Schizosaccharomyces pombe: one gene and its partners. Changing the gene in region 1 together with any one later gene gives a genetic interaction. Each region holds a gene or a part of one and is shown on either strand. Other genes may lie near its edges.

Region 1 (3,991 bases):
AGAGTGTTGAGGAAATCGACCAATTTATCTTTTTCGTTGTAGAAGTAGTAAACCGATATACGATCTAAATTGGCTCTTTTTATAAATCGACAGACGAATGCTCGAATGCTCGAATGCTCTCTGGAATATCCTAGTGTAAATACCTGTTGGTTGGCTAAATAGTGGATCAATAGGTGTAACTCGCAAGTTCAGCGAATATCCGCTCAGCTAATATTTGGCAAATCGAAAGAGTAAACAAAGGTCATCGAATCTGAGTGGCACAGCGTAGAAACGACTGACTTGATTATCCTTGTTACTTTTATTTATCGCTTCCCTATACGAGTTGGGTAAAAGGCAGGAAGGAAATTATTTGTACTGGAATCCGGAATATGCCGCAGGTAGCTAAAAGAAATTGACTCGACATGTACAATATATGAACATAAAAATCGACTATGTAAAAACTACTTAATTAGATATACACCAAGCTTTTTTTGTTAAATGTCATTTTACATCATGATGACTAAAAATTAATTTCCTCACAATTATTACATATAAAAATGAACTTGTAGACTTAGAAAAGAAAGTCATACATTTTCTATATAAAATCATTAAACAGAATCAAGAAATTTATTAGAAATATAAGAAGATCCTCAGCATTAAACTCTCCAAAGGAGAAGAGAAGAACGTTAATGTGTTTCACTATATTAAACACAAAATGTAATGGTGAACACAGAGAAGTATCTCCTCATTACAAAAATATATATATAATGAAATTATACATTGGTAGGTGTTTAGTTTTATTAATCAAGAAAGGAAGGAGATGACTGTAATATGTGATACGGTGTATAGAGTAGCTTCCTTTTCTGACCCCTTTTCTAATCAAGCGGATCAAGATTATGACGAGAAATTAAGCTGAGCAAATAAATTTTCAAAAACAAAAAAAAGAAAATTTTGAAGATTATGAACGTGCATCAGAAGCATAAAAACGACAATATACAACAAAATTTTATGAAGCTGGCATTGTAAACACAAAAATGCAATCAACTAGTCCATACCCAAGAGGAATTGAAGGGTCGGTGAATTACATTATGTCAGCATATATGTTTTAATATAGTGAATGGGATCATGACTTTAAAGGAAACCCGTGTAATCCAACACAAAAGAATAAACAAGGAATATAAACATTTAACGAATGAGTTGAAAGAAATACTAGTTAATTTCCAACATACTGTTAAATGTCATTTCTAATCTTTTCCCACCTAACTGTTATTGGTGACGATTTGAATGCTCATAATTCATTTTTCACTTTTTCAAGTCATCAAAGCGATTACCTAATACGGAGCGAAACCACGGGCTCTTCCACGATATCCTCCTCTGCCACGACCCCGTCCACGTCCACGTCCGCGACCACGACCACGGCTCATACCAGGAACGTTTGTCCGCTTGGGTGTAACCTACATTTCAAGTTAGAATGCATGTTGCTGGTAGTTACTGTGATTGTTTTACATACCTTTAAAGGTCGTTCATGCAACATCGATCCATTTAATAAAAGAGCATTAGGCACTAAGCTTGGTTCACTGAACTCGATGTATGCAAATCTACGAAACTAGGTTAGCTGTACATTCCAACGTCATCCACAAGTTCGATTCATACCCTTTTGGATGTCCCGTAAACTTGTCACACAAAATGGTAACGCGATTAACAGATCCACAACTAGCAAAATGACTTTGCAACTCCTCTGGAGTAACACTGTAATCAACATTTCCAACATAGACACTTTGAGCATCAATGGATTCCTTATCGTTTCTCAAAGCTTCCGTTTCATTATCTAGTTGTTCTTGCATGGCACGAAGCTTTGCAGCCTCTGCTTCCATTTCAGCAACTCGCTCTTTCATTTCCAATAGTTCCTAATCATGTAAGCAAATAATTCCACCATACTACACAGTCTGAATTCCTACCTTTTCTTGGGTATCTAAGGCATCTTGATCACTCATTTTTTCAAATTTTCTGCTACACGCGTGTGGTTGGAAGTAAACTGTTCAACCAGTATTCTTTAGCATGTTGAGGGTGACAAAAGTTTCCCTCTATGCTCTCAGAGTAGCGACGCTTTGTTTCGCGCAAATTTACAATAGCGTATGGCACGATTAGAGACGGAAAAACCGATTTCTGAATGAAACAGCACAATATGGTGTAATATTTTCGTATTCGTTAATACGTACAATATGTGTTTAACGAGGATTTGGACTGCCTGCTTATAGTTCGGATGCTTGGTTAAGATGAGAGTGCTCACAAGTAAGTAAGGTGAGGTTTGTGGACATTTTTGTATGGCGTGTTTGGTTTTATTGTATTGCTAAAATCACAATTCATAAGAAAGCGATCTTTAAAAAACAATTAAGGAGATTGACGGGATATGCCGTTAAATGTTTAGTTTTTGGACGTAACGAATACCTAAGTTGCTTGAAGAGCTCTCCCACTTGAAGTGAAATAAGTGGAATCCTAAAGAAATACGATAAGACGTGATAAAGTATGGCATAATGTAGTTCTTTCATGGAACTTCGAACTCAATTATTACACACTCTTCACCATTGATATACGTATCCAGGGTTGGTATTATCTTCATTAGCTCGATAGCCAAGGGTGATGAATTACAAAAATATAGAAAAGGGATATTTTTGAATGGAAGTCTATTTAAAATAACTTCCTGTTTTTTAATTGATTTCTTTAATAATATTCCGTATTTTTATATAAATTAATTTATTTTTTCTGATTTTTACCATTATTTCTTTTTTTACTTTATTTTGTAGTTTTTTGTGTTTTTTTTTTTTTGTTCAGCAACCCATCTAACGTAATGCTATCGTTTATATTAATTGTTTTTTTCTTCTTCTTTTGTTTCTACGCTTTAAATGTAAAAAGAGTCCAAGTCTAAATAAACCAATTTTTTTTTTTTTTTGCCTGGGGATACTAATAATTTAATAAAATGGAAATTTCCCAACAATGTTTATCTATCAACCACAGCAAGCCGTTCCCAGCTTAACTAATACTAGAATAAAACAAATAATAATAAAGCATCAAGTAACGGTATATTTCGTTTCATATGCGAATTGTAGAACCAATACTACAGATACTTCACTATTTATTTATCCGGTAGCAGTCTACCATTGATTACCTTCTAGACACCGTTGACGATTCACATACCGAAGCGGAGAAAATTAATAAATCAGAGTTTTAACTCAAAGGAAGCTTCTATGATCCCTTCCAATCTCGTACTTCTATTCAAGGGCCTATATATCTCTTGATATTTAATTGCTATGGCAGCTTCCTTAAACCAAGCAACATAATGATCAAACAAAAAGCAAATTGTTAGGCAATTTTAAGATCATTTCATTAAAATGTACGAAATAATTAGTTCATATTCGAGGCTTATATCTTTCTCATTATCGAACATTTTCCATCGTTCATCTATCTACTTTGCTATTCTAGTTAACAGTGGTTACTTGTGCATCTAAAACGATCGGTGAAACGAAGATAGAAACGAGAAAAGAATTCAATAAGATGAGAAAAAATAATTAAAACAATTAGTAAAAATGAAAATAGATTGTAGACGATAGCATATGTGTCTATAAATTAGTATATACGACTTGTTCTATTTTATATTTATTTATTTATCACGCACAAGTTTAAGGAGAAATAATGCACTACACAGTCACGTTATCATAGAATAAGGAAGAAGAAGTCAGAACGGGATAAATTGATCACGAATCTTCCTTACCAACTCATCTACTATCTCGACATAATTGTGCTATATTCCACTAAATTTCGTTAAATTCTCTATCGCAATCAAAGGAACATCAGCACTAAAAAGAACTCCTCAGGGGGGGCGGATAACTTTACCCTCTACCAACAACAACCAACCAAGGTTCTGTTTTCTGCTACATTTCTGGGTTCAACATGAGAAAATTTGCTTAACAAAATATTAATACACACACGATCTAAGTGAATTGCTACGAAATTC
Region 2 (4,413 bases), on another chromosome or scaffold:
ATGCGTTTGATCAACAAGGTGAAGCGGTAGCTACTGGTTGGGTTATTGATACATTCTTGGGAGCCGGCGTTTCTCATGAATTAATATTTATTGTACTAAACCAGCTCTACGATCGCAGAGAAAAGCCTTGGCAAGGAAAAGATAGGCTTTTTTTCCTAATAAAAGAAGTTACCCATCTATTAAAATTATGGCATGAAGTGAGTGTAAGAGCCGGAGTTGCTCAAACCTCCAAACCCAGTTTTGATGCTCCTCTTGTTTTGGAAGCAATAGAGAAATACAAAAATGCGCTAGGTGCACCCGATACTGCCACGAAAAGTTGCAAAGAAAATTTAATATCTTTAGATTCTGAAATTCGTCAGACATACTAGTGAAAAGATAGCTTTTTATAACAACATTTTTTAAAAAGATGGTGTTTGGTATTTAATAAATGCAATGATTATATTGGATGGATTTGAAACCTTCACATAATTGGATGTTGTTAACTATCGCTATGACTGTTACATATAAAAAAACAATTTAGAAAATACTCTTTTACAGCACTTGCAATGATAAATGTGTGATTAGAAACTAAAAAACCTAAATCCTTTTTTTTTTGTAAAATTTAACACCTGCCAAAGTTAGTAATTTAAGTGTGATAAATGACTATGAATAGCTTACATTCTATAAGAAAGGTCTTCTGAAACAGGCTCGCGATTTGGCTCACGTGGATTGAAAGTGTATGAAATATCAATATCAAGTTCGCGGTGGTTTCCTTCTGCAGGTTTGCAAGTAATTGTACCTCTAATGTATTCACCGGCCTATAGAAGTGGTGTTAGTAAATCTTGTAAAAGAGAAAAAATGTACCTTTACAGTGAGATCCTTATGAGTATAGAAAACAGTTTGTTTCCAATGAGTGTAACGGGAGAATGGGCCGGTACTAAACTTAATAGGTTTATGACAAGCGGAAAATTCGATGTCAAACCACGCAAGGAAAGCATGAACGAAATCGTTGCGAGTAGCGGTTATTTCAAAGGGAGAGGAAAATGCGAGGTCTTCTTTTTTCACAGTTTTTAAATCTAAATCAAGAATTACACAACTATTGGTATTGACGGCTATGCGATCAACCGTATCAACCAAAGGTTCTTTCCAGACATCCTTTTTTATGGGAGAAAAATCAAAACCGTAAACGTCGTCCCAAACTGAGAAATGAATGGTTAGAAAGATACCGACAGATACTTAACTTAAACTTACATCCAATTTTTTCAGATTTGTAATCAGCATCTTCGATGGCTGCTAGTTGAATCTGGGCGCGATCGGGGAATAGAAGACCATCAGGTGCAAGATAGCGGTCACGAGCAACGAGAACTGTGTCGAGCATGCTCTCGTAAAGTAAAAAGTAGCCCATCCATTCGGATACAATAATATCTACTTTTTCCACAGGAAGTTGTATTTCTTCCATTTTGCCTTGTATTAGAGTAATACGGTCGGAAAGTTTATTAACTTCAACAATCTGTACAGCTTTGTGGATAATTTCGCTCATGTCAACCTACGTTTCGTTAACAATTTATGCAGGGGAGATAAATGGAATAAACATACACCATATACGTGTTTAGCGCCTGCTCTAGCGCAAAACATGGAAAGAATACCGGTACCACATCCAACCTAACAGGTTAGCAAGCGAAAGAAAAAATATGTAAGTGAAGAAAAACGAGATCTATCCTAAATAACTGGTAAGCATACATCAAGAACAATTTTATCACGAAAGAGATGTGGGTTTTGCATGATTGCGTCGCGATAGGAAAGCGTACGGACATCATCCTTTAACATTTCTTCATGAATTCCCCAATGAGAGTAACTGAAAATTAGTATACTGATCGGATAATCAAAAAATCACAATTCAAGTATTTTAAAAAGATAAAAATTTATAACTCTTGATGACAATTGCCTTCACGAAGAGATCGAAAACCTAATTAAATTGCTTCTACGTCGTTGATTGTTGCGATTAATAAAACAGTAAAAATACCTGTCAAAATAATCTATTTATTAGCAAGGACTGACGGGAAAAGTTAATGTGGTTTAAGTTGGGATTAAAAGTATCTTTTCAACGAATGTCAGATAAACAGAAATAATCAACCTCATTTGGCAAGGTATGTATTAAGAACAGTCATTGACTGACAGACGAATCGTTGAGTCTATGGTTAAGTATAAGCCGGAAGCATATACTTGAGGGAAATGTCCAAATGACTAAACGGACTGAAAACCCGATATCCTACCAACTCAATCACTGAATTAAAAAACTTACAATCCTATGTTTAGTTAATAAAATACTCAACAGTGGAATTGCATCCAGAACAATTAGTATCATCATAGAGCAAAAAACATACCTTGGCAGTCAAGCCAGAATCCGCGCTTTTCTTGGTATTCCCAGGCATTTTCAAATAGTAAGTAATTTAATTTCCAATTCTGGATGCGAAACGCAAAATCACTCAAACTTATGAAAATTGGTAAACGGCTGTCAACACGACCAACTTAGGTCGCTGGAGAGGCCCTAGTTCTTCAAATGGCAGGCTGTTACTTGGGATGTACTTTATGTGCAACACAACGCTAAGGCAGCATAGTGTACGAAAACAACCAGTCCTACCCTACCCTAACAGAAAACGCCGTCACATTTTAAGCAAACGAAACTTTGGATCACTCGGAAACAAACCTGTGCACAAAACCTCTTACAATGGCCAACACTAAGAAGAGCGCTATTAACCAAGTCGTCACTCGTGATTACACGATTCACATGCACAAGAGACTCTACGGAGTTTCTTTCAAGAAGCGTGCTCCTCGTGCCATCAAGGAAATTGTTGCATTCGCCCAAAAGCATATGGTAAGTAAAAAAATAAGTGAGATTAGTATAAAAGTCTTTATATTTCGTATTCATGGCTACAATATTTCCTCCTTTCTTCCTTTCTCAAAATTTCAGTCCTACTAACTGTATTTTTTATAGCAAACCAAGGAGGTCCGCGTCGACCCTTCTTTGAACAAGGAAGTTTGGAAGCGTGGTATCAGAAATGTGCCTCACCGTCTTCGCCTTCGTCTCTCTCGTAAGCGTAGTGACGAGGACGACAAGGCTCTCTACACTTACGTTCAAGCTGTTGACGTTGCCAACCCTAAGATGGAGACCACCGTTGTTGAGGAATAAAATATGTGCGTTTTGATGCACGGTTCTATTTTGATATACCAGTATGCTGATATAATTGTAAATTGAATGGTGATCTGTTATACTCGGCGTATTTGAGTTATTTGTAGTGAGAGGTTGAGCTGTAATGGAAGTGAAAGATTTGTAGTAAATATGGAAAAAGATCGTAGCGGGTTTGAAGGATTCAAAATAAGAGCATATCTAATACCGAGTTACTTAGTTTGACGCACCTTTTAATCCACCAATTGTGAACAAGAAAGCAAGTATAAAGAGTGTAGCTTGTATTGCGAAGACGTTTTTGACAGTGAGCGCTTTTTTAATGCAGTTTTGATATTGACACTGTAGATGCCCATTTAGCTTAAAATCAAATGAATAAGAGAATACAACTTAATATATCTTCAGGATGCGTACCTACAAGTTATTTTTCCTACTCATTGACTGATGATGAAAACAAAGGTTGCAATGCCTTAAAAAAGTGAACCTTCAAAAGTAGCGGAATTATTGTCAATTTATTGTATTATTTAATATTACTATTCTAATTGTGTCGTAATTAACTGTTCGAAAATATCCACAATGAGCCACCTGATGCATGTGAAATGAAGCAATTCGCTGAGACATAGGTTTCCGAAGGTATCTCCATATTAAGGCAACTGTCCTCTATTAAATATAGCGTCTTAAATATTTTTGTGATTAATTGCTTTGAAATCTCTTTATTAACTCTCTCCAATTATTTCACTTATTAGCATCCTCTGGTGTACGGCCACCCTTTACCACACATACGCGTGCTTTGTAGAGTTTTATGCTAGCACCTCTTAAAGTTGTTTTCTTTCTTTCATAAAAGAAATTAAAGCATATGTTGAGGAACAAGCTTAATTCATCCACATTGTACAGTTAGCTAGTCTTATAAATGGAGACAGATCCGATTTTGAAAGTCGAGCGAGAGCCCGAGTTCACTCCATCTCCGGCCCCGGAGGCTATTGTAAAGGATATTGAACAAGGAGTAGCTCCCGTATCACAGAATGAGCCTGACCGTCCTCAACATTGGATCACAAGGGTAGTCATAATAGTACTCATTGTGCTTGCTTGGTATGATCCCCTCCTTCAGTCATTGTGTTTACTAACTGGTATTGTTTTTAGGTATTTCTTTTCTTTACTTCTTTCTATGATGAACAAGTGGATTTTTTCCGAATCAAAAATGGATTTCCAATTTCCTCTGTTTCTTAGCAGTTGTCAAATGCTCGTTCAAA
Region 3 (6,039 bases), on another chromosome or scaffold:
TGTGTTCATGCTTCCGTACGAAAAGACCTGCAACGCTTCCGGCCCATCGGACGCTGCATTTTACTTTTTTAGATGGAGCTCTGATCGTCCATCTCTCCCATTCCTCCCGGCTACTAAACCCGGAGTTAAGATAAAGGTGCGCCTGCTATCCGAAGAAAATAAACTCTGCGTAACCGAAGCAACAATGGTCGTGGTAGCAAAAGGAGTATAGGGTGAAAAGAGAAAAAGATAAAAGAGAGAAGAGAGGAGAGGCGAGAAAGGAAACAAGAATTATAATTAAAAAAAAAAAAAAAAGAAAAAAAGAGATTTTCTCTTAAGAATCAAAACATACTGAATGCAATTGTTTTGCCGAATACTACGATTTTTGACGTATTGCACTTTTTTTGGCTTATTGCTGGATCAACATGTATAAGAGTCTATTTAAAGGATTTCCGTTGTAAAAATACAACTTATCACACTCACACGTTGACACTAAGAGAAAAAAGCTATAGCGAACAATGATACACACACATATACATACGCTGTTGCTATTCACATACGCTGCCTTGATACACACTGTCTTGACTATAAGGAAAAAAGGTTTGGCTTGGTCACAAGTAAAATGTAGCGATGACTTTCGTACTCTACTAATGATTGTTTAGTGAAGAATGATAAAAGATAGTAGTGTGTATTGATTATACTTGTATAATGCAGTTGAATTTACTATGAATAATTTGGAAATTTCGCACAACTCGTTGGTCCTCTTAAAAAAGGAGAAATTTCAGTTTGCGAATATTGGTTTCTCTCTCTCTTTACTTTGCTTTGCTTTGATCTGCTCTACTATACTCTACACCCTTGCCTTTCTGCTTTCTTTGTTTGGTTGCAAAATTCACAGATCGCAATGAAAAAATGTTTTAAACTGCGAACTAATAAGTAGAATTGATTTTGCAATGAAAAGTAAAATTAAATTAAATAGAAAAAGAAAATTTTAAAAAGAGACAAAGAAGAGTAAGGAAAAAAAAGCCCCCCCCCCCCCCCCCCCGAAAAAAAAAGAAAAACAATGTATTCATGGTAAAAACAAAAAAAGTTTTTACTCATCATTCATTGTATCGTTGATCAATTAAAGAATACAAAAAAAAAGTAAGCATAAACCCATTTGGAAACATTGCATCAAAGGATTTTTCATTTTCATTTTCATTTTTATTTTGTTTTATTTTATTTTATTTTATTTTTTTGTTTACCATCATTGATGAAACAGACTAATGAAAAAGAAACTCTAGTACATTTTTATTTTTATTTTTATACTATTGAGCTTTAAATATTAGAGTATTTTATTCTATTGAATTTGAATTGAATTTATTTTAATTTTGGTTAAATTAATTGATTTTCTTTTCTTTGAAATTTTTATTTTATTCAATCTTTTTACACTTTCTAACGTACTACCAAAGTCCCTAAATACCGTATCGCCCTTCTACCTAAAATTCTTTCAAAATGACACACTAAACCACAGTATTTGCAAAAGAAATACTCACCCATCCCACTCATTGATTTCAATAATCTTCAATTCTCAAACACAAAACGACATCCTTTCAACTACTTCTAAAAGAATAAATATTTTCCTTTTTTTATACTATTCATCTTATCTAAACTCCTCCTGCATCCATTTCTCTTCTCCATTTTTTACCCATCTCTCACCTAACCTATATATACTTATATGTAAACAAACCTACTACTCTCTATACTTTCCATACCAAATATCCTCAAACATCCACGCAAACCTCCAATCTTTTTAATTATTCAAACTCTTTAATACCATTCCTATCTAAATTTTTTACTTCAAACTTTTTTTTTTTTTTCTCATTTCTTTTCGCTCTATTTCTGTCACCAACTCTCGTTCCCTGCCGGCTCCTTGTGTACACTTTGCCCTACCTGTCCTAACCACCAAACCCTCTATTGTTCGGAAAACAAACACTACACATGCATTGAATGACTCTGCAGTCTACAGATTCCGCTATTGTGATCGATTCTGAAGCTGATGTTGACATTTCAAGCTCACAAGCTTCTCCTTCCAAGGTTTGTCGCGTATTTCCCTTTCTTTCTGTTCGCTTTTTTTTTAACCCTCTTTTTAGGACAATATTGCTTTGTCAGAACACAATGTTATAACTGTTCTTGATACTCCTCAAAGATCTACTCAATGCGATAGTTTGCTAAAAAGTTTCAGGTAAGTTGACAAATATTGTTGCCAGCATTTCCTTCCTTTCCACACTTTTCTTCCACATCTCGCTAATCGTTCATTTGGGGTCAGTACTCCTTTAGTTTCCGGCTCCGAAGATGTTCTCCCTAGTCCCCGTGATGCCCTTAATATCACTAATAAAAAGTCGGTTACCGATAATCTTTTGCTCTCTTTAACTTCTTCAAACCAGTCAACAAACACGAATTTAAATCCTTCTTCACGCGTCGAAATCATTAATTTAAACTCTTCTCCCCCTAATTCCCTTTCCTCGCAACCAAAACACCAAGAATTTCATTTATTCCATACTCCCACCATTCCTAGGACTACACAATTGTCATCGAAAACCTCCTCTCCCATCGTTATTCCCGACGACAATGAACAAGTGGCTTCCCCTTTATCTAAAAAAGCTGCTTCTTTGACTTCTTCACCCTTAAAAGATTTCCAGTCCTCCCCGCCGCTCTCCACAGTCCTTCAAAAATCCCACTCCCTTCACGATATACTACTGGACACGAATGATGACGATCATTTCCCATTTACCCAGAGTCCGCTAACAAAAACAAAATCTTTCAACGATGCACTAACATCCTCATCCTCTATACTAAAGCCATGCATGCCATCCATCGCTAGTCCTACTTCTAATCGATTATCACATGCCCCTTCTACGCCTAATTTATTTCCTAACCAAGACAGCTCCAATACAATCGACCTCATCAATAACCGTTCCAAAACCTCCGTAGAAAATCAAGAAAGAACTTTCAATCTCACATCTGATGTGCACTTAGATAGCCCGACCTCTCCATCCAAGCATTCTTCAATTGAACCCAATACTAGTCAGGAAGATAGTTTTCAAGAACTTCCTTCTCTAAACAAACTTTCCATTCAAAGTAGAGCTTTTAAAAAAATGAGACTACCCAAAATTTCAAGGACTACCGATACGCCTCCTGCCTCTACTTCAAATTCAAATAAAAAAAATTTGGATAAATTAAAAAAAATGAGAAAATTATGCTCTAGGAGCTTGGAACCGTACGAGCTAGACTCTAATACACAACGTAAGAGGAAACGTTACGAAGATTCTTTGAAAAAATCAAAAACTTTAGATAAGGTTGACAGCTTGAATAGAAAGATGGCGAAAGAATTGGACAGAAAGAATTCAAAGGAACTTCAAAAAATTAACAAAGTTAAGAGAACCAAAGAAGAATGCCTATCTGAGATAATTCTTTTATCGCCGGATGATTGGGCTTCATCTTGGTATTCAACTGTTCGCTCTCAATTAGATTCATACAACTGCCAATTCGTTGTCAATTCAAATCAACCAAAAGACTCAATTATGTGGAAAAGGAAGGTAAACAATGTGTTTAATTCTTCTACCAACCGGTTTGAACTTAGCATAGAGCATGAACAAATCGAACCTTTTGCCCTACTACGGTTGAAATGCCGGGATTTTATAAAATACATCGAAGAGGACCAAGCTGATACTTTTTTTCATGAAATGTCTGAAAAGTTTAAAGGCTGTAAGCTAATACTGTTGCTGGAAGGCATCCCAAACTATTTTAAATCTCTGAAAGCAGAATTAAATCGTCAATATGCAGCAGCTGTTAATAGCGGTACCAGACCTTTGTTATTTGGTTCTTTATCAAAATATCAAAACTTTACTAAAGAAAAGTTAGAGAGTGAAATCGTCCGCTTCAGTTTCGAACATAGTATTCTTATAAACACTTCAAATGACGAAAAAGAAACCGCTCAATGGATAGTTTCCTTTACCGGCGACATAGCTTTATCTCGTTACAAGCACTTTTCTAAATTTTCAGCTAGAGCCTCTACTACCGAAATAGGACATGTCAAATCCGCCGATAGAATTGAAAACTCTCTAAATTTTATGTTGCGGCAAATACTACGAGTTACACCTAACATTGCTAACGCCATATGCGATCAATTTGACAGTATACCATCTTTAATTCATCATCTAAAAACTCACGGCGAGGAATCATTAACCAACGTTGTCATCCAATCTAGTATTAGTGAACGAAATTTAGGTCCGGTTTTATCGCGCCGTATATATAACACTTTCTTATGTAAAGAAGCATCCAGTGATGCACCATAGTGATCGGTCATTATTTGTATTTCATTAATTGTTATCATGATATTTTTTCCTTTTTTTTTCTATCTATGAAATTTTCTTATGATATACTTTCTTCTAACTAAAAATTAACTAATATCGGTTTCTAACTAAAGCACCTCATCTTCTATATCGTCGGTAGTATTCGTTCAAACTTTCTAGATCAATCAGATTCCAAACTTTCATCGTACTGGTTCAAGGCACGTCTAATGGCTAACACATTGTCTACAATGACAGCATCAACTCCAAAACGTACTTGGCGTCGGACATTGTCAACATCATTATTGAGAACACCATAGGTGTAGCAAGATAAACCCAATTGTTTAACTGCCTTGATCAGCCTCGGGCACATAATGAGCGGTTCACAAGCACTAACGATACCCAGAAAACTCCACTGTGAGGCAAACTTTAAAGCTTGTCTAAGCGATGCTGCACGAACGTCTGTTCGGTAAGCGGTACCTCCTTCAGTCAAAAAAAGAACAGGATTAGTCGATTTCAAAGAAAGTAAGATGCATATATCAGGATTAAAACTAGAGAAAATATACTTTCTTTTACCACCATACTTTTTGATTATCGATAGAATGGTATCCACGTAAAAGTTATAATCATAAGCTATAGGGAGCAATTTCTCTTCCTCAGCTTCACTTAGCATGGGGTACTTAAATTCCACATTAAGTCCTACGGATTGTGGAACTTCCTTCAAAACATCCTTTAAAGTTGTGAACGGTGCACAAATCGTATGACCAAGGGCATTACCCTTATATACTTTAGGCTTCAAACGTGCGTTTTCTTCAGCAAATTCACCGAAATTAACCTGTGATCCTGAAGGTGTAAATGAGGAACTGTAGGCCCTAGGACGTCTCTTCTGCTGAATGTCACTTGCATCATCTTTAATTTCTTCTGAAGGAGAGTGGGAAGCCCCTAAGAATTGCTCCAAAGTCAGCGAATGCACTTGTGCATCCGTTCCGGTTTCGTTTACGATAAAATCATGGTATACCACTGGGACCATGTCTTTAGTCATTTGCACATCTAATTCAACGTAAGAAGCACCAAGATCTGCCGCTTTTATAAACGATTGTAAAGTGTTCTCGCCAAGTTGAAGACTCAAACGATCAGGCTGATTCTTACCAAGTCCACGATGTCCGATAACCGCAACACCATTCGATTTCCCTGATTCTGATGTAGTTGTGGCAGATTTGTGTAAAGAACGCTCAGCGTCTTCCAATGCAGTGCGACTTACGTTGGAAACTGCTTCCAGCGATAAGGCAGGGGTACTTATGCCATCATTTGACGAAAATCTATCATCAACTGTCACCTTAGAAATAAGAACATCCGCATTAACATGAGCTATTGGTTTAAGAGTTTTACTCGAAAGTAATGGTAAGGGTGCCAAAGGTTTCAACGACTGCATATGATTCCCCAAATCAGATACCAGAGAAGTCAAGCAACATACAGTTCTCCCTAATATTTTATGGGATCGATTTGCTAACAAATCAATTGTAATAGTTGCTTCTTCTGTATTTCTTGTAACGAAAACCAATTCATACGGTGGAGAAGACCCGTTTACAGGTTGCGGACTATTTTCTTGTGCGGCATCATAATGCAAATGAATAGAGTCGTCGGCAATTTCATCAGGCTCCGCCAAATTCTCTAAGCAAACTTCACCGGCATTATCAAAATGGGAGCGAGGGATATCAATAATCACTGAGTT
Region 4 (4,064 bases), on another chromosome or scaffold:
CTTGGAAACTGGTAACTCACGACTACACTGGTTCTTCTTCATCTGAGTGGGCTGTTCGAGGACATAAGGAAAATGTTGAAAAGGCTATCGCTTCATTGGAAAAATCTATCAAGCAAGTTATGGAAAATTGTATTGCTTACTTGGGTATCCCAACGAACTTGCACCGTCGTATAATCGGTTCTGGTGGCTCTATTATTAATAAGATCCGAAAGATCGCCCAAGTTAAAATTGATGTTCCTCGTACTCCAGGCGATGAAATTGTAGTAGTCCAAGGAAGTCGAGCTGGCGTTGTCAAGGCTAAAGATCTGATTTTCGAGAGACTTCAAGAAAACCAAAATCAAGAGTAAGGTAAAATTTTGGAGCCTTTATTTAGTACTTACATTCATTTCTCAAATTTTTTTGAGAGTGTATTTGAAAATTATGTGTACGAAATATCATTTTGTCGCTCTTTTATTACTACATGTCATTTTTTAAGGAGACGGAAATTGCTTGAATCGAGCATTTTCCTTATTGATTCCTTCTTTGCTTTGTTACATTGCCTTTGTTTAATATTACAAATATAGACGCATAGGAAAAAGGCGTACCTAGTGCATTTATTCAATCTTTTCAGATATAAACATTGGAATGTATAGATAATTCAAGAAACTAGAATAGTTGAAATCTATGATTTTTTATGAGAAAATAAGCATTGTACGACAGATAGGACACAACAAGTTTTAGTAAAAGAATATTATAAATTTACAAACAACGAGCTAAAATTTAACCATTTCTCAAAAGAAGAACCATATTAGGACGTTTTTTTTTTCCAAATAGCGTAAATAAGTTAAAAAAACCCAGAAAACCCCAAAATAAAGAACACCGGAAGTAAGGAGAAATATGAGACGAAAGAATGTGGAGTATGAAGTATATAATGAAAGAAACAAAAGGCCTCGTACAATAAATAGACTATTGAAGAAGCGCATCGCGGAAATGCTTTTTTGTGTTATTCTTAATACCCATCTTGTTAGCAAATTCCTCTCTTCTTCTTTGGTCTTGGAATGATTTGATATGAGAGGCACTATAATTCTTACGGCCATCGCGAACACCAGCTATACTTGTTTCAACAGCTTGTCTATAAGCTCGGGCATTACCACTCATCGCACGTCTGGCGACGTTCTGATGAATAGAAGCACCATCTCCTACAGCGGTAGAACTAGAGTGAAGATTTTGGCGGAAGTAGCGAGATAACGAACGATGGCCCACACGATTACCAGAGGGTAAATGAAGTTCATATTCGTCAGCAATGGGTACACGACCCATTTCAAGACTATCTAAGCTGGAGTTATCTGAATCATCAGAAACATCTTCCCAGTCTCCTTCACCAGAGCTTCCATCTTCTTCTACGACAGTTTCGTCTTGCTTTACTGCATAGTCAGGATACGATGTAGTAAAATCATAAAAATCAGAGAGTTCAAGCTGTTCATCTTCTGTATCATAGGCAATAGAGGTATGCCCCTTTTGCTGCATATGGGCACGAACAGCTTCTAGTGATTTAAATTCACGATTGCAGGTAAGGCAAGTAAAGCCGATAGAAATTTTCTCTGCTAAATAATCGAATAGACTTGGTTCATCTACCAAATATTCCCGCTCAGGAATGTACAAGCTATGAGAAGCCTTCATATGCTTCTTGCATGTATCAAATGAAGAAAAAGAGGCTGCGCAAAACAGGCAATCTCTTGGTGAAAGACGTTGACTACTTCGACGAGCAAGTTCAGCTTCAATTTCTTCAGGAGTTGGTTCTTGTGTAAATAGATGAGACTTGGAAGCTTCGTTCGATTGAGGTATGGAAGTAGCCAATTCAGTTTTAGAGGGTTCACTTTCTCGACCATGAAGAGATAAGTTGGAAAGGGATATCGCCCTTGATGTCAGTTGTGAAGCTAAATCTTCTTCTTCCTCAATTTCGCTATCAACTACAGGTTCACCCATTGACAAGGTTGAAGAAGCAATACTACTTGCATCTTCACTTTGAAGTTTCTTAATACGGCTGTTTCTTTGAAATTTGCTCAAGTTATCGCGATGCTTCTTCGAAGCCATATGTGATGAATAGGCGCCTTCTGAATAAAACTTTTTATTACATACTTCACAGTTTTGATAAAATTCTGCTTTTTTCTGGACTTCCTCGTTCTGCTTTTGAATGGACAAAATCTTTCCAGCAAACACCTCAGCACTCAACGGCGGCAAGCTAGCAACCTTTCTCTTCAGATTATAATGATGCCAGTCAGACTTCCAATGTATTTTCTGTGATTCTGCATTATTGAAAGCCACAGTACAAGTCGTGCAAGCAAAAGAAGTCGACATTTCGGTATTCTGTCAAGTAATTCAATTCTTAGCCAGTACACTTTTTTATCGAAAAAAAAATTGATATTGAAGCCGAGTCTTTCCTCAAATATATTCTTTGACTCAAACTAACTTAATGAGATGAAGTCAACCCTTTTTTACAATACCTTGCACAAAAAGGTGTTGGTTGAATCCAACTTGCCTACGATCAACTATTGCCTACATAACTTGTAGCACCACCAAATTATTTTAAAGTGTCAAATAATTATCAATTTTATTGAAATCAAATAAAATTAATTGATATGTTAAACATCTTAATGTCTTGTTTTTTTAAACTTAATTTATGCATCCCTCAAAAACATTTTCTATTGCTTAGTAACATAAGGCGTACCTTTTGATTAACCAGTAAGTCCTAAGAAAACTCATATATAGACAAAGGGCTGGAAAGAAAGAAATGGCATGCATTGTAGTTTTAGCGAGCACACGAGCTCCCACTCTTCAGGGTTTAATTAAAATTGAGTATTTGAAATTGAGGTATTTTTGAGTTAGTTTCGTTGGAATAATCATATAGGAAATACATAATAGAGTTTAATGTCTTTTCCTTTTGTTTAATAAGTTTCCTTGCCTCAATAAGAAAGTTAGCACATGTGCTTTCTTATCTCTTTTCCCTCGGGGTTTAATTAGTGTTAAAATTTCGTTTTATGATAAATGGTCAGCTGTTTCTTTTAAACCTTTCACTAAATGACTCAGTGTTCCAGGATCTCTAGCACGATTGGGATACCAATCCTCAAACAGATTATTCCATAATTCCTTCTCCTCAGTATCTTCGGGTGAAAAAAAGTAAGAAGGGTTTCCAGATGATTTCTCTTTAAATTTCATTGACCATGCTTTAAAAGTTTCAATTTGTTCCATGATTTCTTCTTCATTCATCAATTTCAAGTCATCGTCACTAAAATTTATATCCCAATTATTTGCCTTTGATCCAAGAAACAATGTAAGCATCGTAATTGTAATCTGCTTATAGTTAGCATTTTACTCCACTAAATGTGATTGAAATCAACAGTCATAAAAGATAGATAGACAGCAACATTAGAGACTTACGAAAACTTTGCTTAAAAAGGAGTTTCCATTTTTTTGCTTCGCAACCTTAGCTGCTTTTAAAAATATATTTGTAAAAATACAGTTTCTATCTCTCATATCAGAAAGCAGAAGAAGAAATAAAACTTTCAAAGAAGAATAACAGACGATAGGACCGACTTCAAGACTACAAATTTCGCATAATTTTTCTGACAGTTTAATGTTCCAATCATTGACGTCTCGCAGACAGACCATTTCCTTTGCAAAGCATCCAAACTTATTTAAAGCTAAAACCAAGTTTTGCGTTTCACTTGTAAAGTTAGCAATCTAATAACAAAAAGAAAAATCCTTACTCATTGCCATTCAACTGATTTTTTTTGTTTATTTTTTTTCTTTGAATGTATGCATTGAGTTGCTCGTGTAAACTTTCTGCTAAATCATTATATACATTGTCAATGGCAAATAATATATCTTCCTGTACAACTTTGTTGACCGCCAATCGGTGGAAGAATCTGCTGCACAAAATCATCAGGAAGTTAACGGTAGTTGAATTAAATATATCCAGTATTTCTTTATACAACTTTGAAAAGTCCTTATGAAATTCTCTCTTATAAAGAAGCTCGTCAGGAATTTGCTCTACGCATTTTATAAAAAAGTATGATGAAACACAA

Evidence for each region.
Region 2: of pab2 (region 1) and rmt1, changing one suppresses a phenotype caused by changing the other (phenotypic suppression), as found in Schizosaccharomyces pombe (one study listed by BioGRID).
Region 3: mutations in pab2 (region 1) and eme1 together harm fitness more than expected from each alone (negative genetic interaction), as found in Schizosaccharomyces pombe (2 studies listed by BioGRID).
Region 4: mutations in pab2 (region 1) and rei1 together harm fitness more than expected from each alone (negative genetic interaction), as found in Schizosaccharomyces pombe (2 studies listed by BioGRID).

The regions. Positions count from the first base shown.
Region 1 is NC_003423.3:1,938,784-1,942,774, forward strand, and holds pab2 (poly(A)-binding protein Pab2), read right to left. Parts: upstream 2,006-3,991; 5' UTR 1,974-2,005; coding exon 1,938-1,973; exon of another isoform or gene 1,887-1,937; coding exon 1,633-1,886; exon of another isoform or gene 1,578-1,632; coding exon 1,490-1,577; exon of another isoform or gene 1,434-1,489; coding exon 1,311-1,433; 3' UTR 588-1,310; downstream 1-587.
Region 2 is NC_003424.3:5,015,419-5,019,831, forward strand, and holds rmt1 (protein arginine N-methyltransferase Rmt1), read right to left. Parts: upstream 2,502-4,413; 5' UTR 2,412-2,501; coding exon 2,364-2,411; exon of another isoform or gene 2,286-2,363; coding exon 2,282-2,285; exon of another isoform or gene 2,016-2,281; coding exon 2,003-2,015; exon of another isoform or gene 1,835-2,002; coding exon 1,720-1,834; exon of another isoform or gene 1,642-1,719; coding exon 1,576-1,641; exon of another isoform or gene 1,526-1,575; coding exon 1,231-1,525; exon of another isoform or gene 1,179-1,230; coding exon 844-1,178; intron 798-843; coding exon 658-797; intron 649-657; exon of another isoform or gene 609-648; coding exon 602-608; 3' UTR 541-601; downstream 1-540. Other genes in the region: nucleoporin, WD repeat Nup155, read left to right, coding at 1-368; rpl31 (60S ribosomal protein eL31), read left to right, coding at 2,708-2,854, 2,975-3,169; phosphoenolpyruvate transmembrane transporter Pet3, read left to right, coding at 4,074-4,252, 4,304-4,413. UniProt on the Schizosaccharomyces pombe protein: S-adenosyl-L-methionine-dependent protein-arginine N-methyltransferase that catalyzes both the mono- and asymmetric (type I) dimethylation of the guanidino nitrogens of arginine residues in target proteins.
Region 3 is NC_003424.3:3,295,794-3,301,832, reverse strand, and holds eme1 (Holliday junction resolvase subunit Eme1), read left to right. Parts: upstream 1-1,919; 5' UTR 1,920-1,965; coding exon 1,966-2,052; exon of another isoform or gene 2,053-2,108; coding exon 2,109-2,200; exon of another isoform or gene 2,201-2,284; coding exon 2,285-4,313; 3' UTR 4,314-4,491; downstream 4,492-6,039. Other genes in the region: glycerophosphoryl diester phosphodiesterase Gde1, read right to left, coding at 4,492-6,039. UniProt on the Schizosaccharomyces pombe protein: Interacts with mus81 to form a DNA structure-specific endonuclease with substrate preference for branched DNA structures with a 5'-end at the branch nick. Typical substrates include 3'-flap structures, D-loops, replication forks and nicked Holliday junctions.
Region 4 is NC_003421.2:1,220,671-1,224,734, forward strand, and holds rei1 (ribosome biogenesis protein), read right to left. Parts: upstream 2,512-4,064; 5' UTR 2,338-2,511; coding exon 946-2,337; 3' UTR 569-945; downstream 1-568. Other genes in the region: vgl1 (vigilin), read left to right, coding at 1-347; meiotic cohesin complex STAG protein Rec11, read right to left, coding at 3,016-3,330, 3,418-3,703, 3,747-4,064.